2 linked regions of the Canis lupus familiaris genome follow. The protein of the gene in region 1 interacts with the protein of each later gene in a pairwise test. Links are inferred from orthologs where the notes say so. Each region holds a gene or a part of one and is shown on either strand. Other genes may lie near its edges.

Region 1 (10,826 bases):
TCCAGGATCACGCCCTGGGCCGAAAAAGTAGGCGCTAAACCACTGAGCCACCCAGGGATCCCCGCTGCACTATTTTTTAAGTGCATAATAGGTTCTGGTGTTCAGACTCTCCTTTGTGGCCTAGCAGCTCACACTGTGCTTTGGGCAGTCCTGGCTTTTGGCCTCGTCTGTCTAGATTACTACTGCAGCGAGCTGGCGCAGTGACAAATTCTAAGCTCCTGAAAACACTGACATGAAGACAAAACCAGAACTGGCCATCCAAAACTATTCACAAGTGTTCAACTGTTATTAATACCATCTGCTCAATGTAGAACAGCTATAAATGTCACAAACAGTTAAGATACAAACTTTAGGGAAATGGGTTAAAATGTGTGAATTCAGGAAAGTAATCCTAAAAATGATGAAATGTTAGCACAACAGAAAATGACTCTCAGAATTAAAGGAAACACTCCCATATAAAAGCCAAATGCTTCATCGTTCATACTCATAATGTATTCTTTGTAAAAATAAGACAAAAACTCTTCATTTAATCCTTAAACTTTCAAAGATTAGGAAATTCTAGAAATGCTAATATATTCATATTTGCTGATCTTTTTCCAAGAATAGTGTCCCATAAAACTTGTTTTTGATACACACACACACCTCCACTGGTTAAGAACCAGAATCCTAAGAGCTCCAGGGAGACTGTGATGTGCAGCCAGGTTGGAAATCAGTTCTAAAGTTCCCTATGTGTGGCAGGTAGCTTGTCCTGCATAGGGAATAGAGAAGGGAGCTCAGAGAGGGCTGGCAAGGTCACTCACCTCCATCCATGTGCTTCAGTGCCTTCTCGGCTTCATCTGGATTCTCAAACTCCACGTATGCATAGCCTTTAGACAGATGGGGGTGCATCCTTTCTACAGGCATGTCAATCATTTTAATCTTCCCATAGGTGGAGAATATCTCCATGATGTGGTCCTAGAGCAAAGACAGGTCACTCTGATGCATACTCACAACTACCCATGTGGGAACTGAAAATGCACGACACATCAATAGCCTTGGCACCTGGGGTTAAGTTTCTCACACAGGGTCACCCTGAGGGAGTTACTGCTCCCCTTGACAAACGCTCTGGTCAGGCCCTGGAAAGCCTATGCCCTCAGTTCACCTGAGGCTGAGGCCTGCTTCTCTAGTTTTCCATTTAAAACATATGTAGAATAGACATATCCCACTGCCCACTGGACAGATCCAGGATCCCTCACCTTGGTCACATTCCTGGTGAGCCTCCCGATGTGTACTTTGGTGGGTTTAGGGGAAGGACTCCGCCTTTTCCTTTCCTTTTCATCTCTTTTGGGTGGTTTGGATCTGATTGAAGAAACAAAACACCAGAAACAATCAATTTCTGTCAAAATTTTTTAGTGGGGCTGCTAATTGCTACTAAGATAGTTTTTATAAGGAAGCCTTCCCCTACCAGTTCATGTATTTCATATTAGCTCTGCTTCAGAAATCCTACTAAAATAGAAAGACTCCTTTTTAGATCTACTTCTATAGTAACAAGAATAACTTTATCGTCCCCCATTTGTGAACTTAGTTTCCCAGATAATTCACAAGTTTTGAGGGCAATCCCTTCCCAACCAAGGCACTCCTGAGTTGAGAAGAGGTGCTGGAAAGGAGCTTACTTGGAGCGGGAACGCCTCCTGTTGTCATGCCTACGCCTAGAAGGACTGGGTGAGCCAGAGGAGCTGCTGGAGCTGGAACTGCGAGATGTGCTGGAACTTCCTGAGCGGCTAGAGGCTGAGGAAGAGCTGGAGCCACTGCTGGAGCCTGTGCTGGTGCTGGAGCCTGAGCTGGAGGTAGAGCTGGACCGGGACCTGACAAATGAGACGGTGAGGTCAGGGGCAACAGTGCACGAGAGTATTTCTTCCCACACATGAGCCCATACTTGCTCCTATTCCCAAGAGGTAAATGTCCTCCCATTTCCAAGCTTCAATGTCTCCCCTCCTCGGAGGGCCCCACTCCTGCCCAGCTGAAACCCCAGGTAGGGACAGAAAATCACACTGTGCAGTGACAGGAAAGAGCCACCTCCTAGCCATACAGGAGCCTCACCTACTGGGAGGCACAGAGTCTGGCAAACCAGAAGCACCAGCCCTGCCTGGATGGTAGCTACCCAGGGACTCGGGCTGGTTTTCAACTGAGGGAAAAATAAGCTTTAGGCTAGAGCAATCCAATCACAACTCTAAACAAAAAAACACTCGAGAGAAACTTATACCCCAAGATGTCCCAGTCTTTAACATCTCCAGAAAACACCTCAACACCATCTTCCATATGTAACCAGAGCAAACTCAAACCACTCTGCCATAATCCAGGCCTTGATGAACCACCTCAGAGTATGTTGGTAAATTACGAAGACCACAGAGCACCCTGCCAGCTCCCTGGGAAGGGAAAGGGGCGTGGCCACAGAAGAGAAGCCCTCTCGGGTGCTCAGGGGTGCTCTGTCCTGCCGGGTCCCACCTGGTGCTGCTGCTACCACTGGAAGCGCTGCGCCTCTTCCGAGTTTTATCCCTGCCACGATCCTTCTCACTTGACTCCTTGGTGGCCCCTTTATCTTTAGAACGATCCTTGGACTTCTCATCAGAACGGTCTTTGCGTTTGGTAGGAGAAGGAGCCCTGGATGGTGAGGAAGAGTGTGAGATCGCATGCCCCTCTGACCAAACCCTAAAACAAAACTACCCAAAAGAGGGGATCCAAAGGGCTATAGAGATCCCAGGTGATCACAGAGCAAAATGATCTGTGGCTTAAGACACGTCACTGTAGAACGTAAGTCATTTCCATTCTTCCCCTTGCTGAGGGTCCCTAGTAATGAGCACCCCCAAAGTAGCACTAGAAAAATCTGACAGAAGGATTACCTAGTGCTGGACTTTTTATTATTTTCTTTGACTCCTAGCAAGCTCTTCTTTTTCACTCCTGATAAATCCATTCTCCCCTTCTGAGGTGTTCAAAGCAGCAATGGTGGCCTCACTTATCTGAACTCTCACTTCTAACTCGAGTCTGAGAAACGATCCCTAATCGATTGCAATTTACGCCAAAGTGCAGCCTAATAACAAGATAAAAGGATTTACAGAGTGAACGAGTTGGCAAGGCAACAAATCTACTTTGCAGTCAAAAGGTGAGCACACAAGATGGCAAGGAACACAGTAAGCAGCGAGCGTCCACAAAGCCAGGAACATATGGGATCTCCTCCATTTCCTCAGGGAGGGTCTTGCCCCCACAGGTAGACCTTCACCTCACCTTGTTGTTTTTTCCTTAAGGAAAGGGTGGTAGTGCCTGTCACTGTTCTTTTACAGGTGGTACAATACCTGTTTTTCACTCCTAAGTTTGATAAGCCCTTTACCATTCCCTTAGAAATGTTACAACACCACATTTGCATGCAGAACAGAAGAGTCAAGTGTGGCTCTCCTGATAGGATCACTGGTGTGATTAGATCTCAGGTTTTACTGCTGCAATTTCTTTGTAGGATACATCGAACATACCATGACTAGAATCAAAAACCATTTCAAAAGTGACAAGTACCAGCATCTAAACATTAACACCCAAATGCAAACAGATAAAATGTCCCATAAGAACACTGAAAAAGTAGTAAAATAGTTAAGTTAGAAAGCAATCATTGCAAATGCTGAACTTTAATTAATGATATGCACATGGAAGCGTCATGGGGAAAGTACACCAAAGCCTGCTATTTACTTCAAAATGCAACAAAAAACGTGGATGGGCGATCTGTTCTATGACAAAGCAAATATGGCAGAAATGTAACTTGTAGGTTCTACGTGGTGGTTATGCGGGTATTCACTGGAACTGGAGGGCACTGCTCCTAAGGGTCTCACCAAGTGCCCGCACCACAGCATGAGTTGTGAGTGGTCAGTGTAACCACCAAACCATCATGTGCCTGGTCTCCTGGGGGACTCGCGACCTTCATTTTTTCCAGGGAGGTTTTTCTACAATTTGCTTGAGCTGCAAGCGAAGATTGCAGAATGGTGGTGTCAACTCCTCCTGTCTCATCTTCAACAGCCTGTCAGTAACATCGACATGGCAACCACCCGGGATCCTGTTCTCACATGTGAAGGGGTGTGCAAAATGCTAAATGAATGTCGTGACTCAAGAAAGGAGGCCAGCTTTGGACAATCAAATTAGAGCAGAAGCAAGCAGGGTGTCACCTTTGAGGCTCCTCTCCAGGCTGGTACAATCTTTTAAGACGTTTTGCCTTGGAACAGTAAGGTAGTAAGCAAGCAGCACTGGATGGAGTCAGTGGCCTTGGACAACCAGGAAGTACGGTCCAGTGGGCAGGAATCTGGAGTCAGCCTGCCTGTCTGATTCCAAGCTCTGCTTTGGGACCGGGGCTAAGTCCCACAGCTGTTCTGAGTCTCCACCTCTCATCAGCGTTTTGGGGGATACAGCTCCTACACCTCCGTAGTTACCAAGATCACCAACCCAGTTTACTCACATGGAAGGAAACTTGGCATCTAGTTAGGGCTCAATTAAATGCCCGCTCATGTTACAAGACAGGGGTGCTCCTCCCCGTGTGCAGGCTTTCCCCTACATAAACTCTTGTTTCCCAAAGGCCCACACGATCTCCTGAATGCTGGACGGCCCGTTAAGAGGATCACCCAGGGCGGCCCTGTCCCAGGAGAAGAGCGTGAGCTGCCGGCACGTCCTCAAGCACTCCAGCAGCCCCGTTACACAAGGAGGTTAACGAGGGATCCAGCCAAGTATTGACACCCCACGCCCCCAATACCATCTCTCCAACGTACAGGCAGTGAAGACCCACCCGTGATACACTTACTCCCCCGCGGGCGCCAGACCTCTCCAACACCTCCACCCGGCCCAGGCCCGGGCCCAGGCTCAGGCTCAGGCCCAGGCCGGGCCGCCCGCCTGCCGGGGCAGCACCCACGGCAGGGCGCACCCCCGGGCCCCACCCCAGGGCCCTCCGACCACCAGCACCACCCGAAGCCCCGGACTCTAAGCGCTGCGGGCGCGGCCGGGCCTGGGGAGCAGAGCCCGCGGCGCTCTGTCCACACAAGTTCGGGTCGCGGCACAGGACCTGGGTTACCTCCCCCATCCTCCGGACAGGTGCGCGTCCAACAGCCAGAGAGAGAGAGAACAGTTAGTCACACCTCGAGCAGATGGCGTTCGGCCCCGTCCTCGGGGCACCTTCCCCACTTAAAAAGCACGTTTTTGGCACAAGTCATGCGACAGCCAAGAAGGGCCGCGGCCTCCCTTCCTTCCCGCGCCCCCCTCGTGGGGCGGCCCGCCCGCCCGCGCGGCAGCGGCGCGGTCCCCGCGCCTCCCGGGCCCCCCACGGGGCAACTCCACCCACGCCGCCCCCGTCCGCCGGCGCCCGCAACTCCCAGCCCAGGGCCGGCCCGAGGGCGGCTCCGAATCCCGCGGGCCTTGCCGGGGCCGCCGCAGGGGGAGGGGGCCGACGTGAGCGCCCTTCCGCCCGCCGCGGCCCCGACCACTTCCGGGCCGCGGCCTCGGCGCCTCCCACTCCGCCAGCCCCGGGCCACACTCTTTCTTCTCGCGCCCGCTGTCGCGCCGCCGGGCCGCCGTCCCTACCAAGAGGCCGAGGGGCGGGCCGGCTCCACCACGCGCCCCGCCGAGCCTTGCGGGCGGCCCCCGGAGCTCGGATGGGGTCGGATTCCCCCAACTTACATCTTCCCGCCGCCGCCACCTCCGCCCGCTCTCCTCAGCCTCGAAGGCCGGCGCCGCTCTGGCGTCAGGATTAGGGAGCGGGAAGGCGCTGCTCTCCGGCGCGCGGCGATGACGTGACCGCCTCAGCCAATGGAGGGAGCGAAGGGAGTGTTAAAGGGCCCCGGCCGTTCCCGACGGGCCGCGTCGGGGCCTCGTCTTCTGTCTCCCCCGCGAGGCGGGGATCTGGGGCGACCCTGGGCCGGCTGCGTGCCGCAGGGGGCCGGCCGACTGCTGGGGGCGGGAGGGCCGCGCAGGGCGGGCGGCTCCGGGCCGGCGCCGAGGGGGTTAACGCAGCGGCGGCCCCGCCCCCCCGTTGCGCGTGCGCACTGGACTAGCAGCCCGGGTTCCCGCTCCAGCGCGCGGGGCGGCGGGGGCGGTGAGGTGGGCGGCGGGGACAGTGCGGTGGCTGGCGGGGGCCGGCGGGGGCAGTGCGGGGACCGGAGGGGACGGTGCGGGGCAGGGCGGGGGCGGGGCGGGGCAGTGCGGGACAGTGCGCGGCCCGACGGGGGCAGTGCGGGGGTGCTGAGGGCTGTGTGGCCTCTGGCTGCGGACTGTGGGGTCTCGCGGGGCGCCAGCTGCCCAGAGAGCTGGGCAGGAGAGGTGCGGAGTGCCCACGCGGTCGTTGGCCCTGAGCGTGGACAGGGGCAGTGCTGCCATCGCAGTGGGGAGCGAAAGACCGGATAGAAGAGAAGTTGCGAAAGGGCAAGCACCCCGGAGGAGGAGGGGGCACTGCGCCAGACCAAGACCCGAGGGGAAGGAGGCGCCCGGTGAGGGAGCAGCAGGTGCAGGGGCACGAAGGGGGCTCGTTGAGGGGAGGCCAGGGGGCGACTCGCAGGCCAGGGCCGGGCAGGTGAGGTTCGGGTGCCGAGCGGGAGCCTGTGCAGCACCCCCCCACCCCCACCCCCACCCCACACCTCGCGGGGGACAGTGCAGGCAGGGAGGCGGACTCCTCTGTTGAAGTACGGCCCGGGCCAGGCAGGAGGCTGGGAAGAGTAAAAGCCGCGCCGAGAGGGCCAGAGCTTTCGGGGTGTGTTCCCCGAGGTGTCTCCCACGGAGTCCCTGCCCCAGTCTGGCTACCGGTGGTTACCCCAGGACTGAGTGGGAGGAGGGAAGGTGCACCCTGCCCCAGTGGCTGTCTGCACAGGTAGGTGCATCAAGGAGGAGAAGGGAACAGATCCAAAGCAGATCTCTTGGAGGAAGGAGCTGTGGTGACTTGGAGATGGATTAGCTGCCGGGGCGGGGGCAGGAGAGTCCGGGTTGCAGTGTGGTGACCAGGGATGGATGGACAGACTGTGGACACCGTCTGCAGGCCATTGCTCTCTGCTCTGTATGGTTTTCCCAGCACATGGATGGTGACGCCCTTTCCTGTGCAGCTCCTCTAGCCTGGTCTGGTGGGTCAGTGTACCCCTATACCTGATGGAGGGGTGTCTGAGAGTCACCAGCAAAAGAGCAGGGAAAAAGCAGTTGCCTCCTGAGTCCCTGTTTGCTAAGACACCAGGACGCTCTTGGAGAATGAGCTGGGTTGGCAGGCAGAGTGGGTCTGAGCGCAGGTCCTCCCTTTGGATTTAGATCTGCCCTAGAGTTGTGGGGGTCCATTTAGAGCAACTTAAATTCTCTGCCTCATTGTTACCGCTGCCATGGCCAGGTGTGGAGGAGTAAGTGGGAATGGGGGACAGTCCCGGCTCGGCACTGCAGCAGTGAAGGGGCCCAGAGGGTCAGCACTGGGGGTGGGGTGGACTTGGTGGTCCAGGCCTATAGCCAGTGGAGGTCTGTGAGGAGGCCGTGGCAGCCTGTCAGCTGCACACGCCTGGCCCAATCATTGGTGCGTTCCTGAGGGCCTTGATCCGGAGCCTTTGCCCAGCCCTGCGTGGTGCCAACACCCTAGGTGGGGGAGCAGGCCAGGGGCCAGGAGCTCCATGTGGCCATATGGGGGTGGGGACAACCAGCTGGGCTGACAACCCCTTGTGTCTTTTTAAAATGTGCTAAACTGATAGAACTTGGCATGCATGTAAATTTTAACATGTTTTATATTAAATCTAAAGCATGATTTATTCAGACACATAAATTTAATCATATTTGTTTCTAAATATTATAGATCTTTGTTATCAAGTGTGTTATCAGCTGTTGAGCTTTAAAACTTGAGCATCTTGTCTTGTGCCATTTTGAAGATGAACAGAATGTGTTTGGAAGAAACAAGAAGTAAAAACTGGAGGCCCTGGCCGTCCAGGGGTTCTGGCTTCCCCCTTCCTATGCCCCTGTGCTAACCCACCCAGGCCCTGGAGGGGAGGACTGGGAGGCTGGGTCCCCAGGAAGCTTTTTTTTTTTTTTCCAAGATTTTATTTATTTATTCATGATAGACATAGAGAGAGGGGTGGGGAGCAGAGACACAGGCAGAGGGAGAAGCAGGCTCCAAGCAGGGACCCTGATGCAGGACTCGATCCCAGGACTCCAGGATCACGGGCCTGGACCAAAGGCAGGCGCCAAACCACAGAGCCACCCGGGGATCCCCTCCCCGGGAAGCTCCGAAGGACTGTGGAGCAGGTGTGATGGTGGGGCTGGGGCAGGGCCCTGCGGACGGGGCGTTCAGCGGCCAGCCCAGGCCTGGAGCGCCAGAGCACAGGCATCCTGCAGGCTCTGCCGGTGTCCTGAGCCCCGGGGCTGAAGGCCACCTGTTGGCACGTGGAGCTGGTCTCACTTTGGAATCAGAATGTTCCGTCGGCCTGCATTCTCTGTGGGCCTGATGGGCTCTGCAGTGCCTGTCCTTGGAGGCTGGTGACCTGGGACACAGCGTTCAGTGGTTACCTGGATTGTTCTGGAGGTCACGGTGGGGTATCCAGGAGCCACGTGGGCATCGCATTCCCTTGTAAACCACGTCAAGAAAGCATGTCTACCTATCACTAAGAGTCTCTGTGCTGAGGGCAGCGGTGGCCCAGCCAGGCTGCACAGAAGGGTTTGGGTGGCCGCAGGGAGCTGGTGATGGCTTGGTGACAGCTTGGTGACCTTGAGGGAGGCATTAGGAGAGGAGGCGGATTGCCAGGCCTTGGCGATGACAGAGTGAGTGCCTGCAGCCCCTGAAGGAGCCCAGGAAGAGGCACTGGCTGGTCCTTCTGGGTGGCCAGGCTGGTGTTAAAGGGCCAGGCCACCAGTGAGGGTCTGAGTCGTGGGGAGGCTTCTCCAGCTCCAGGCTCGTGTCTCCAAGGTGTGGGGTGTCAGGTCCCGAGACCTCCCCTCTCCCCCTGCCAGCAGGCAGCAGACACCTCAGGACTCTCCTAGGGGCTGCTGAGCAGTGAGCTTAGGGGCTTGTGCTGGTTTCCATGCCCAAAGCCCGGTGTTTGTTTCTGCCCCAGGGAAGTCAGGAATAGTGACAGCACAGCTGTGGTTGTCACAGGGAGAGGGTGGGACCCAGCCAGAGCTGGATATGGGGCAGTCTAGCTGGGGCGCCGTAGCACTAGGTGAGCTGAGGGCCTTGTGGCAGCGTTGGCTGTGGCCAAGCCACCTTGGCCCCTGTCCCTGCTCCTCAGGCCCTCGTTGCGCCATCCACAGCCAGTTGACTTGGAGCTTCTTCAGCCTTGGAAGCGTCTGGTGCCAGCATCTGTGGGGTGTAGGCCGGGCCCCGAGAGCGGGGCCTGGGCAGCCCTGTGTGTTGAGGAAGGAAGGCAGGGCCCCCGCTCCCCGGGCCTGACCCTGTGGCTTCAGCTCCTCCACATGCTGCTTGCGGCCTAGGCCACGTGGGCCTGTGCGACAGGGATGGGACTCGGGCCCAGCATCTTGCTTCCTGGTGCTCTCCTGAAGGGTGGTGGGGGCCAAGACCTCTGCCTTCTTGGGGAGCCTCTTGGCCCACCTTCCCTGAACCCCCTCGTGCAGTGACCCAGGGGGCTTTGCCCTCCTTTGGGAAAGGGAGATAGGGACTTGAACCTTCCAGGGTTTGGAGTTTGGACCCGAGCCAGGGTTCAGGGAAGGGGCCTTGTGTCTGTAGAGTGCGGGGTCACGTGTGTCCTGATGGCCTCAGCTGCGGGGTAGGTGAGCGGCCTGGGCCTGACTTTGGTGTTTGGGGTGCTTCTTAGAAACTCTGTGGGTCACCTCCTTGATGCAGGAGCAGATTGGGGATTAAGCGCTCTGGGTCCAGGTGGAGCCCAGGCTGTCTACCCAGGGATGTCCCTCTGTGTGCAGGGAAGGCTCAGGCTTTTGTTGTGGTCACAGGGTCTGGGCGAGCAGAGGCAGCCCTCCCTTCACACTGACCAGTCCGTGTGGGAGTGGGGGTCTCAGGGGACCCGCTGGTTCCCAGAAGTGAGCCAGACAGCAGCTGGTGTGGGGTGTCGTGCAAATGCAGCAGCCTATTCGGTTGCCCCGGCCGGTGGTCTAGCCCTGGGCCGGTCATTTGGAACCCTCCCCGTCATGACCAGGCTCTGGCTCCGTAAGTGTTGGGTCTGAGCGCTCTGGGGCTTTGGGCCTTTGCTGTCTGTGTGGTCGAAGAAGTGCCCGAGTTCAGCTGGGCTCACGTGGGGCCAGGCCAGGCAGAGTGGTCATCCCCAGGCAGCTGTGGCCACCCCTGGGCCAGCCTTCCAGCTGCTGGCCTTGCCTCACTGCTCTATCGGCTGCCTTGTGAGACTGGGCTGAGGGTCCCTGAGATGCAGTTGACCTTGGCTCCCCCTGGAGCTCGACTGAAGATCTGGGATTGGCGTTTGCCCAGCAAAAAACTGTGCAGTTTGCTCTTCGGTGGCCTTGCATCCAAAGGCCCAGGACACGCCATGGGGGGCAGAGGGGGTCCCAAGGGTATGGTCACTTCTGTTCTGTGGGGCTCCGTCAATGACGCAGGCAGCAAAAGCACACATGGCGGGGACTCGAGGACACTGCAGTCATGGTGGAGACCGGGATTGTGTCCTGGAACCTGGCTTGTATCTGGGGTCCCCACGCCCGATGCCGGGTGCAGCCATGCACCTGTGTTCCAGGCAACACGGTCTGACCCCTGGGAGCTATGCCCTGCGGTTCCCTCTGCCTGCTGATTTATTTGGAGCCTCGAGGGCACCTGGAACCCCCACCTGGACAGAGCAGACAAACAGGATCTGACTCCTCGAGGCCTGGACTGCCTCCTCTGAACTTTGTCTTCG
Region 2 (10,893 bases), on another chromosome or scaffold:
TGCCGAACTCAAGACCAGAGGTATTTTCATCTGTCTGTTGTTTTGTACACCCATCTAAAACAGCAACTCCTTAAGCAATGGCATGCATGTATTTTCTCTCTCCAATAGCCCAGCTGAAGAACTTATTACTGTGAGATTATTTATAACTAAATTAACTTCTACATGACAAAGACTAATTTATTCAATTTCTTTTGGGGGGGGTACTACGAAGCACCAGATAATTTTTTTAATAGAAAAATTCCTTGATCCCTACAAAAATCACCACCACCTTCACATATAGCTTTTGAAATTATCAAGAAGCATCCCCAAAGTCCTCAATCACAGGAATAAGTGCTCGTCTAACTGTAACTCATTGGGCCTCTACTTAAAGCAAATTTTTGCCAGGACTATTTATATTCAATAAACAATCAAAATTATAATCTCATCACTTCATGCCAATCCCAGCTTTTCCTATAGGATCATAGTGATCAATATTCCTGCAAAGTACTGAAAAAAAAAATTACCTCAAAGTGAATATACCACTACATACACTAGGATGGCAGAGTAATTTCCTCCAGTGGAGTACAACTGTGAGTCTACTATAGCAACAGAATATAAAGAAATGTGGGTCATACCTTTTTTCTCGTGGCTGCTTCAGTCTAAAAAAGTCGGGGAACTCAGATCTCCATTAATAAAGGATCCACATTTAACAGGTTTGTTTTTATTCACACGCCCAAAATTACACAGAAGCTTTAGCTCTATATTCTATTAGAGTTCTATAATCTCTTATCCAAACTCAAGGGACCAGGCATATTTGTAATTGAGCCATTCACTTTATAAAGTATGGTAGAGTCCATATCATGTAACAGCCCCAGCAAAGCCTATGCCAACTGTGTAATGAAGCCTCAGTATTTCCGCTAAGACCATGTAGTCCCCATAAGTACAAAACAAAGGCATCGATTCTGGTCAGGTTTCACATTTAACGTTTTCAGAATTTTTTGGATAAGAGATTGTGAACCTGTTTTCTGCCTCTGTACTCTTCATACTGGGATGGAACTAAATGAAACCACAGGATGGTTATGTTACAACAAAACGTCAGTCTAATAGTTTCTTTAATACTTTATGGTAAATACATACATAAAAGTTATTTAAATTGTAATTGCGGTACAACTTCATTATACAAAATAAAAAGACACATCTAAGAAATTGATCTACATAGACAATGTGAAGGAAAAAAACCACACCAGTCGTAATGAGCCAGAAGTTTCAAAGATAAAACTAAGAAAGCTGAAATTCTAGAATCATATTGAACTTAAGGACTACAATAAATGGACATGGGAGCACTCAAGATTTATGTGGGTATAAAACTTAGGGGAAAAACTTTTTAAACGAAGAAAATGTTCATACAGTCCTTGAAAAAAATTACTAAACCAATTTTAAAAATAAAATTCAGGTCCCAAAAAACTAGGAATCAGAAAATGGGTTTCTTACCTTTTGCTTCCAGAAGGATGTGGGCTGAACAGCAAGGTGTGTTATTCAATCTGATGTTAATGAAAAATAATTGCTTCTTAAGTTTTTCCTTGGTTAGAAAATAACAAACTAATTACAGGCTCCCTACACTATTCTAAAGGAACATAAATAGGGAGAAAAGGGGAACAATTCAGGGCCACCTTTAGTTCCAAAACTGACGTTCTTTAAATAGCTGTCAAAATGGATAAAGATTAAGGTTCTTTTCCTAAGACTGAAAAACAAAGTCTGCATCTTCCCTCAGAGGTTTTAGCTGCCTGGTCTGGTACCCGGCTACCTTCTATAAATATGCAGCCAAGTTCTCTAATCTTCAGTTTATTATCAGACAATATTTTGTGTCCCACGTCTATTCTGAGGTTGGGACTACTTAAACTTTTAGTAGAGCACAGCTCTCAACTTAGCTTAAATGCACTATCTTCAGTGAAGGCAATTTTATCTTGGTTTCCAACACATTTAATGAACACATGCTTAAGTCTAACTCATACTAACATTTCAAAAATTAGTCATTTAAAAATATTTATATTCTATACATGAAACATAGGTTTCAAATAGTAAAAATCTTTCCACTTCTTGACTGTTGTATTTTAAATCCTTGCATAAAAACTAGTAACTTCCTTAATTTATACCAACCAAGTTCTTTACTTAAAGGAGACTCTTAAGTTTTGAACTTAATATCCCATTCTCTTCCTTACATTCCGCAAGGTTCATCTAAATGTTTCGGTTGGGTGTCCTTATGTAAATATCTTAGGGCCCATTTCTTCTATTACCACGACTATGTATAGTTTTTCCAAGGTTTCAAATTATGTCACCTGCATAGTGGTCTTAAATTCAGCTTCCAGCTCTGATTAGCATCCAAGGCAAATGTTTAAGATTTAGTTATTTCTTTTGGGTGCAGAAAAAAGTGTTTTGATGGTTTTGACTAGCTATGAGGAAATCAAAAGAAAAAGATTAGGGATTTTAAGTAAAAATCTCCTCCCCCAACTCAAATGAAAATATAGCACCAAGGGGCTATCGAAATAAAAAGATACAACAACTAGCAAACTAAGATATAAATCACTGCTTTGGTAGGTTTTGGATACAGAATCAGCTTATGGTTGAGAAGGGTTTTGCAAAGCAAAATTCTAAAGAAAGCCCAGCTTTTTATTGACAAATAAGCAGTTAATATTCTAGTGTATTATTCACATTTCAGAAAAAAATGTAATTTGTGTTAAGGGTGCTAATCTGTGCTTAATTTAACATTTAATACTTACCAATTTTTGAGAAGAGCATGAAAACCTCAAAGGCTATCCCCAAGTTAACATTAACTGGTCACTACCCAATTTTGCATAAAAGCCTATGTTGTCTAGATGATCACCAAAAATTAAACATCTATAAATTTAATCATTTTTATCAAAGTATGGGAAGATTATCTTTCAGAAACTAGATCACCCCCCATTTACCATATTATATACACAATTGCCTTATTCTTAACCTTATCTCCCCCAGAAGTCTTTTACAATTAACAATAAGAGATGGCTAACTCCACTTACTAGATTACCTTTCAAGAACCTTTAATTTACTAACACACAACATAATCTCATCAAAAGTATTAACTGATAAACTAGTCACCCAACTGAAATTTTACATGAAGAGGAAAAAGGACAACCATGCATAGTTTTTTAAAAAATGTTTATTTTTTTCAAAGAAAAACGGCAATAGCCAATTGGAAACCTACTTATTCTTCAACTCCAATTTTGTTTTTTAAATTTAGAAGTGACTTACTGATTTACTATTTTAAACAAACCCCCCCTTTCCCCTTTAAATGTTTACCATCTACTCGTGCTGAATCCTTCCAAGGAGATTGCTCCAGCGTATTATCTCCAGGTCCTCGCTTTGCTCCTTTTACCAAAAAATGCAAAACACAATTCCATCGTGCATCTTAAGGGCTCCAATCGTCAAAAATAGGAAAAAAAAAAAAAATCTTTGGAATAGCCAATTAAGTTGAATAAAAAAAAAAAAAAAAAATCCACACGAATGCGGTTTGGTTGGGGCAGGAATCCACTCCTATGTTCCTGGTAATCTGATCCCGCTCCATGAATCCTTGTAATTCATCCTCCCTATCCTATCCACATTATGATTTGAATCCAATGATCCAGCTCCAAGGATTGGGATCCAGTGAGCCCTCTCCAATCCAAACCTTTATAACCAGCAAAACCAAAAAAGAGGAGGCAAAATGTTAGATACTGTAATCAAAAAAGGTTTCTGGGGAATGATGAGTTATGTCTGTCATCAGTTTAACAGATGTACATCAATAACTATCAAATTCCCCAAAACAAGTTTCTGAATGGTGTTCAGATAAATTTTAGAAACTTAATCATCATAGAGACTAATTGGAAGAAGCATTTTATATTTACAGTTCAACTGATAATGCCAACACTTGTTACTGTACAGCGTATTACAGGTTTTGTGGTTGCAAAAAGTTATGTAGTTGAAAAGTTTACTCGTATTGCTACCCACCCTAAGGCTAAACTAAACCTAATGCTCCCATCTGCAATTTAATTTGTAAATTAAAGTGTTTTAAACATGAGTCAATTATGAATATTAGTTTAAAGGGGAAGGTGAGACTTAAAAATATTCCCAACTAGATTATCTACACCAATACATTGGAATTCTATTTTGCTTTCATTTTGTCTTAAAAAAATGAAATAGCAACGCTATATCAGTCACACAGAGGACATGCAGATTTAGCAGTATTGATATTATACTCTATCTGGTTGGAATTAAAGACACCCTGTACCCACATGTACACCAACAGCAGGTCACACATTAACAGTTGTAACTAAGCACTGTGACAAATTAGCCAGTTCTTCCCACATTAGTCCCTATTAAAACAAAAAAGGGGGGAAGGGAGCAAAATAATTGTTACAAAATGGGCAATGTAATTTTGCCACAATTGCCAAGGTTTAAAGAGCAAAGCAATTGTAGCTAAAGATAACTGCACAAGATGTTTGCAAGTGTTTTAAGGTAGATGTATATATATATATATATATATAATCACTTTTATCCCTTGCCTTTTAGTATAAGGTCAATACTGCCAATTTCATCTGTGACAATAGCACTTGGAGTCATACCATTGCCTCCATTATTGATCTGATCCTCCTCAATCCTCCTTTTGACAATCCTAAAATGATTGAAATGTGCTCCACAATCCTTAATCCAAAGCATTCTTAATCCATCTCTTCAGATATGTCTACAGAAAGACACATGAAAAGCAAGATAAACATAAGAACTTCCCCAGGTAAGATAACCACAAACACCCCCAACATCCCAGTTCACACAAACCAGAGCAGAATAGACATTTACACAATATCACAGTCTGAAGAGCATGGAGAATTAACTAAATTTCAACAATCCTGTCTATGACATCACTTAAAATACAATTTATCAGACATGAGGGGAATGTAGATGTTAGGAGCAAGGGGATATTACACAAGAATGCAATTCAACACTTTAGCCCATTCTGAACAAAACAGTTTGAATTAAAAAATGAAAAGATTGTACTGAGTAAAGGAAAACTGTATACAACATGGGTTCTACAAAAAGTGTCACCAATCATCTTATGTACGAGAGCGAGATCTGCTATGACGGGGAGAATAGCGTGGTGATCCTCTGCTTCTCCTTGGGGAGTAACTGCGACTCCTGCTGTTGCTTCTGCTACGGCTTCTGCTACGACTACGGCTTCGAGATCGAGATCTTCCATAACTTGGACTTCTGGGCCCATCAACTTTAACCCGGATGTAGGCAGTTTCTCCCTATTGAATAGACAGAACTTTCGATTGAAAGATCTAAGCTTTCACCTGTCTTCAGGCATGCTGAACGAATACAATGTAACTAAAACCAGAAATCTGGTATTTTACTTGGACACCCTTGCCTGAATCTTACCTTCAAATTCCACTGTTAAGACCACTGTATCCAATTCTGGCCAAAGAAAAGAGTAAGTGTAAAACCTACCTCATGAGATCTAAACTTAGTGTTATCCAGTTTTCGAACTGCATAGGTCATATCTTCTTTCCGTACAAACTCCACGACACCAGTGCCATCTCGGTAAACATCAGCATAACATACATCACCTGCTTCACGCATGTGATCCTTCAAATCCTGCCAGCTTCCACTTGGAGGCAGTCCTAAAAAAGTATTTTTTCAATACCAATCACCCTAAATTTCACACTACACTTAAAATCTATACTAGAACGAAAACCACTTTAAAATTAATCAGATTCAAGATCGTAGGTAAGAGAGCCATTAATTAAGATTCTGGAATCCAAAGTCCCAAATTCTCTGTAAAGTAAGGATCTTCATCGTCCAGGCATCCGACCTAATGGTAGGTAACTAGCACACTGGTACACCTCCACTACGGTTATCCTTTACTAAACTCACCCGAGAAACTAAATTTAAGACCTACCACAAAAACAGGCATTTGTCAAAACCACTCACGCAAGGGAACACTTAAAAGTGGCTCCTGTCCCTCCTCAACAACCCTCACCAACAGAAAACTCACCGGAGACAACCACTCTGTTTTCAGAACGCCTGGATGGGGGCCCATAGCGGCCTCGGGGAGCCCCGCCACCTCCACCCCCGCCGCCGCCTCGGCCTGTACCACGGCCGCTTCGAGGAAACTCCACCCGCAGACGGTATCCATCGTAATCATAGCCGTCGCGACCGTACACCGCGTCTTCCGCGTCTCTGCGTGATCAGAGAAAGCAAGAGGTGTAAGAGTAAGGCCCGGGAGGGGCAGCTAACTCAGTCGGGAACTAGCGGCCCCCGCACATGCGCACCCAGCGAGGAAGAGCCCACATGCGCTGCATAATAGGAATGGCCCCTCCCCCACCCAGAAGCACGCCAGGCTCCCGACCACTACACCAGCCCTCGGCGCCTCAGTTTCCCGCTCCGAGACGGAGAGTCCACTCTGGGGACGTCCGTGGGCCCAGCCACCAGAGAAACCACATCGACTCGGCTCTTACTCGACTCCTGCATGGGCGACACAGTCTTACCCCCAACCTAAAAGCCCACCTCCCCATTCTCGGTAACAAGGCCTTTCCCCAACTACTCCAACTTATTGCCTCCAGGCGGCGAGGCCCAGGCCGCCTCACCGAGGGTCCTCGAACTCAACGAAGGCGAAGGGCGGTCCTCCGCGGCGATTCTTGAGATCGATGTCGCGGATAGCTCCGTATTTGTAGAACACGTCCTCAATGTCCTTGGTTCGGATGTCTGGAGGTAAGTTACCCACATAGATGCGGCAGTCGTTGTTCCCTGCCGGGCCACGAATCACACCACCTCCCGACATGGCGGCGACGAAAAGCGCGGACTCGAGAACAGGCCTTCCCACCAAGCCTAGCGCACGGCAGAGCGAGCCCGCAGCGACACCACGTCTCCCGCGGCCCCTCCAAAATGGCGCCTTTATCAGCTCGGCGCACGGATATGGGGGGAGGGAGGAAGAGAAGCGGGAGGAAGCTGCTATTCGGCCTCAGTACGCACGCGCAAGAGCGTAACGGGTGCTGCGAGCGGTACGCTCACGCATGCGCGACGTCACCCTCCGCGCGAAGGGAGAAAAAAGTTCCTCGCGTTCTGGATTTGTGGAGTGGCTCGCAAATGACGTGACCGGCCCTTTGGTAAAAATTAAACAGAGATCCCTCGTCCACGGAGCTACTAATCCCTGACGAATCTTAAAGGATAGTCCGTTTTCTCAGGAATGAGTCTCTTTTAAAACAAGTCCGCGCCTTAAAAGCATTGGGTGAAACCTAGCCTGGAGCCTTGTCCCACGATGCTCTGCGGCGTTAACGGCCTTTGGCGGGAAAGACTGCTGGGGGCGGAGCTAAGGGGGGAGGGACCTGGCGGTTGCTCCGGAAACGGGAACATCCTCGTAGAGGGAGGCTGGTCCCGGAGCTCCGCTGTTGGTGCTTCAGTCCCGAGCTGAGTAGTGATTTTGTTTTCCTGCCCCCTCTGGTCTCAGGCGGTGGGCTGCTCAGACAAGTGTCTCATTTAGGGCAACCCAGCTTAGACCCGGTTCCACCGCCGGCTCAGAACTTGACTTTGTATAGCTCAGCTCAACACGCCTTGACCTAGTGGCGGTGGCCGAGCCCTGACCAGTCAACTAGGACTGAGACCTCAGCTTCTCTTTAATCGCCCATCACTGGGCCTAGCGCAGAGGTGAGGTCCATTGAAAGGTTGAAGAGTGAATTGTGCCTGTTACGTATCCAACTCTTTCAAAAAAAAAAAAACAAGAAAAAGCGCGCGTGTGTTGGCAGAATCCTGGAGTTTGTTCCTCTTTCTGACCTCATTCCCGAGCCTCTCAGGTAATATTTAAACGAGCTGGGGGGATGTGTTAGAACTGTGACCCCTGGAGACCACAGTTGCTGCTCAGAACTGATCCCACTTGCATGGCGGCCCAGGGAAATAAGAACCTGTTAACATTTTTTTCAGAGATATCTGAAATCTGGATTTTTATGTAAAATGTTGGGATTTTAAAATATTTGTAATGAATTCAACTTTTAAGAAAACCCTGCCGTCATAAATATGCTAAAACATCTGCACTCTGAGTTTACGGAGGATTTTCTTCATAGTATGTATTTGTTTGCAATGGTCCCCAAGGATGTGAAGCAGTTTACAGAGGTAACCTAGAACATTATTAAAACTGTACCAAGAACTCAGGGGGAATAGGAAAATAAGAGGGGAGGAATTTAAGATGAAGTCATGGATAAGGATACTATACAAAATGCCTGAGGTAATTGCCTGCCCAGTTACTAAAGATGGACTGCAAATTTGACTCCAGTCATCCCAGAAGTCATAGGAAAGAAGGGAACACAAGTATATTCAAAATCCTAAGTGCCTTTGAGATTAAAAAATAAGTACATTGTTTAGGAGAAGGGCATGTTTTCTTCGTTCTAAAAGTTGATTGAGTGCATTTTACCAATGTCTCTGAGTGATCCCGAAATAAAAAATTCAGTTTGATCCTGAACAGATTCATAGAGGATCTTTGGTAGTTCTAGAACTCTGTGATGGTTTCCAAAATTATGCATATACACGCATGTACTTTTTCTGCAAAGAGGATTTGAATTTTTAGTTAGATTCTTATAGGGGTCTGTAGATTCCCAAAGCTAAGAGACCTCTGAAAATTTTAGAGGGAAGGACAGATTATCTATCTTTTAGAATATCCTTCATTGATTATCCATCAGTGGGATTTTTGAAACTGGGCTTTTAATTAAAAAAAAAAAGAACCTGATTATTTTCAAAATGACCAAAGAAGCTGACCAAAAAAGACACTATTTCAACAAATTTTTTTTTTAATTTTTGTTTTTATTTATGATAGTCACACACACACACACACACAGAGGAGAGAGAGAGAGAGAGAGGCAGAGACACAGGCAGAGGGAGAAGCAGGCTCCATGCACCGGGAGCCCAATGTGGGATTCGATCCCGGGTCTCCAGGATCGCGCTCTGGGCCAAAGGCAGGCACCAAACCGCTGCGCCACCCAGGGATCCCTATTTCAACAAATTTATTCAGTTTTTAGCACTGTGCTACTCGGTTAGTAGCAGAAAAGACATTAATTAATTAATTAATTTCAAGACATTTTCATTCCAGAAAAATAAGAAAATTGTAAATTTGCTTTGATTTATTCTTGTCCAATTTCAGGCAGTTATTTCTTTTTTTTTTTTTTTTCAGGCAGTTATTTCTGATGTTCAGATGAATACAAGTAGAATTTAATATAGAATGAATAGGATATTCTTGCTCCTCTCTTGGCTTCTTTTATTGTATTTGATGTAACCAAATTAGAGATTCTGGGGTCCATCATGAGGTCAGAATATAGCAGGAAAAGTCTGAGTGGCTCTTTTTTTTTTTTAATTTTTATTTATTTATGATATCACAGAGAGAGAGAGAGAGGCGCAGAGACACAGGCAGAGGAGAAGCAGGCTCCATGCAGGGAGCCCGATGTGGGACTCGATCCCGGGTCTCCAGGATCGCGCCCTGGGCCAAAGGCAGGCGCCAAACCGCTGCGCCACCCAGGGATCCCTGAGTGGCTCTTTTTTAAGGTCTACCAGGATGACATTAGTTTGGTGATTATTACAGTTAAGGCTGTGATCTTTTTTAAAAAAGTATTTTATTTATTTATTCATGAGGCACACAAGAGAGAGAGAGAGAGAGAGGCAGAGGCACAGGCAGAGGGAGAAGCAGGCTCCACGCAGGGAGCTCGGTGTGGGACTCCATCCTGGGTCTCCAGGATCATGCCCTGGGCAGAAGGCTGCACTAAACTGCTGAGCCACCCAGGCTGCCCCTCTTTTTTTTCTTTTTTTTTTTTTTTTTAAGACTTATTTGAGAGAGAGCACGAGTGTAGGGGTGAGGGGCAGAGGAAGAAAGAGAGAATCTCAAGCCAACTCTCATCTGAGCACAGAGCCCTCCACAAGGCTCAATCTTAGGACTTTGAGATCATGACCTGAGCCAAAACCAAGAATCTGAAATTTAACCAGACTGAGCCACCCAGGTACCTCAAGGGCGTAATCTTAATATCAGTATCCCAGGGGATCCCTGGGTGGCTCAGCAGTTTAGTGCCTGCCTTTGGCCCAGGGCGCGATCCTGGAGTCCCGGGATCAAGTTCCACATCGGGCTCCCTGTGTGGAGCCTGCTTCTCCCTCCTCCTGTGTCTCTGCCTCTCTTTCTCTCTCTCTCTCTAATAAATAAATAAATAAATATTTTTTAAAAATATATTAGTATCCCAGAGTTAATTAACATATTTTAGTCCACAAGAGTAAAAAATAAGAAAGCAAGCAAACCAAACCATTTATTCATTTTTTGGGAGGCAGGGAGTGGGGGGAACAGATTCATTTTTGGTAGCCAGGATGCTCAGATTGTATACACCAAGACAACTGTTTTGGCAGGTCTGGAAAACAGATCAGGCAGTTGCTTAGTAAATGAGTAATCAAAGCAAAATGAGGCGAATTGTTTTGAGAGATCTCATTCAGATAGTGGTGAGACCTTAAAAAATGACCCCTGCCCCACTTCAGAGTATATGTCTTCATTTATACCCCTTGGATTTTGTGTGTCTGCTCCCTGGACAATGATGCTGGGTAAAGACTGGAGATTTTTTTTTTTTAAGTAGGCTCCACCTCCAGCACAGAAGCCAATGCAGAACCTGAACTCAGGACCCTGAGATCAAGAGTCAGATGCTCACCTGAATGAGTCACCTAGGCACCCTGACAAGTCTCTTTCTGTAGCAGATCTTCACATAAACTTTGAACAGCATACTAGACAAATTAGATTTCTGCTAACCGATTTACAACCACTTCCAGTTTTCCTCCTGAGATTACATCCTCACCTTAATTAGGGGTTCACAGTATTTGCGAACCCCTCAATTA

Evidence for each region. The genes of interacting proteins can lie anywhere in the genome.
Region 2: the proteins of RNPS1 (region 1) and SRSF1 interact in a two-hybrid assay, tested with the Homo sapiens proteins (2 studies listed by BioGRID and IntAct, with this or other methods). The link is inferred for Canis lupus familiaris from reciprocal best matches to the Homo sapiens genes RNPS1 and SRSF1.

The regions. Positions count from the first base shown.
Region 1 is NC_049227.1:39,159,597-39,170,422, reverse strand, and holds the start of RNPS1 (RNA-binding protein with serine-rich domain 1), read right to left. Parts: upstream 5,820-10,826; 5' UTR 5,682-5,819; coding exon of another isoform or gene 5,680-5,681; intron 5,161-5,679; exon of another isoform or gene 5,142-5,160; intron 3,068-5,141; 5' UTR 2,951-3,067; coding exon 2,880-2,950; intron 2,641-2,879; coding exon 2,485-2,640; intron 1,845-2,484; coding exon 1,653-1,844; intron 1,339-1,652; coding exon 1,236-1,338; intron 955-1,235; coding exon 801-954; intron 1-800. UniProt on the Homo sapiens protein: Part of pre- and post-splicing multiprotein mRNP complexes. Auxiliary component of the splicing-dependent multiprotein exon junction complex (EJC) deposited at splice junction on mRNAs.
Region 2 is NC_049230.1:32,648,749-32,659,641, forward strand, and holds SRSF1 (serine/arginine-rich splicing factor 1), read right to left. Parts: upstream 6,978-10,893; 5' UTR 6,830-6,977; coding exon 6,636-6,829; exon of another isoform or gene 6,229-6,635; coding exon 6,044-6,228; intron 5,670-6,043; coding exon 5,497-5,669; intron 5,298-5,496; coding exon 5,103-5,297; 3' UTR 3,158-5,102; downstream 1-3,157. UniProt on the Homo sapiens protein: Plays a role in preventing exon skipping, ensuring the accuracy of splicing and regulating alternative splicing.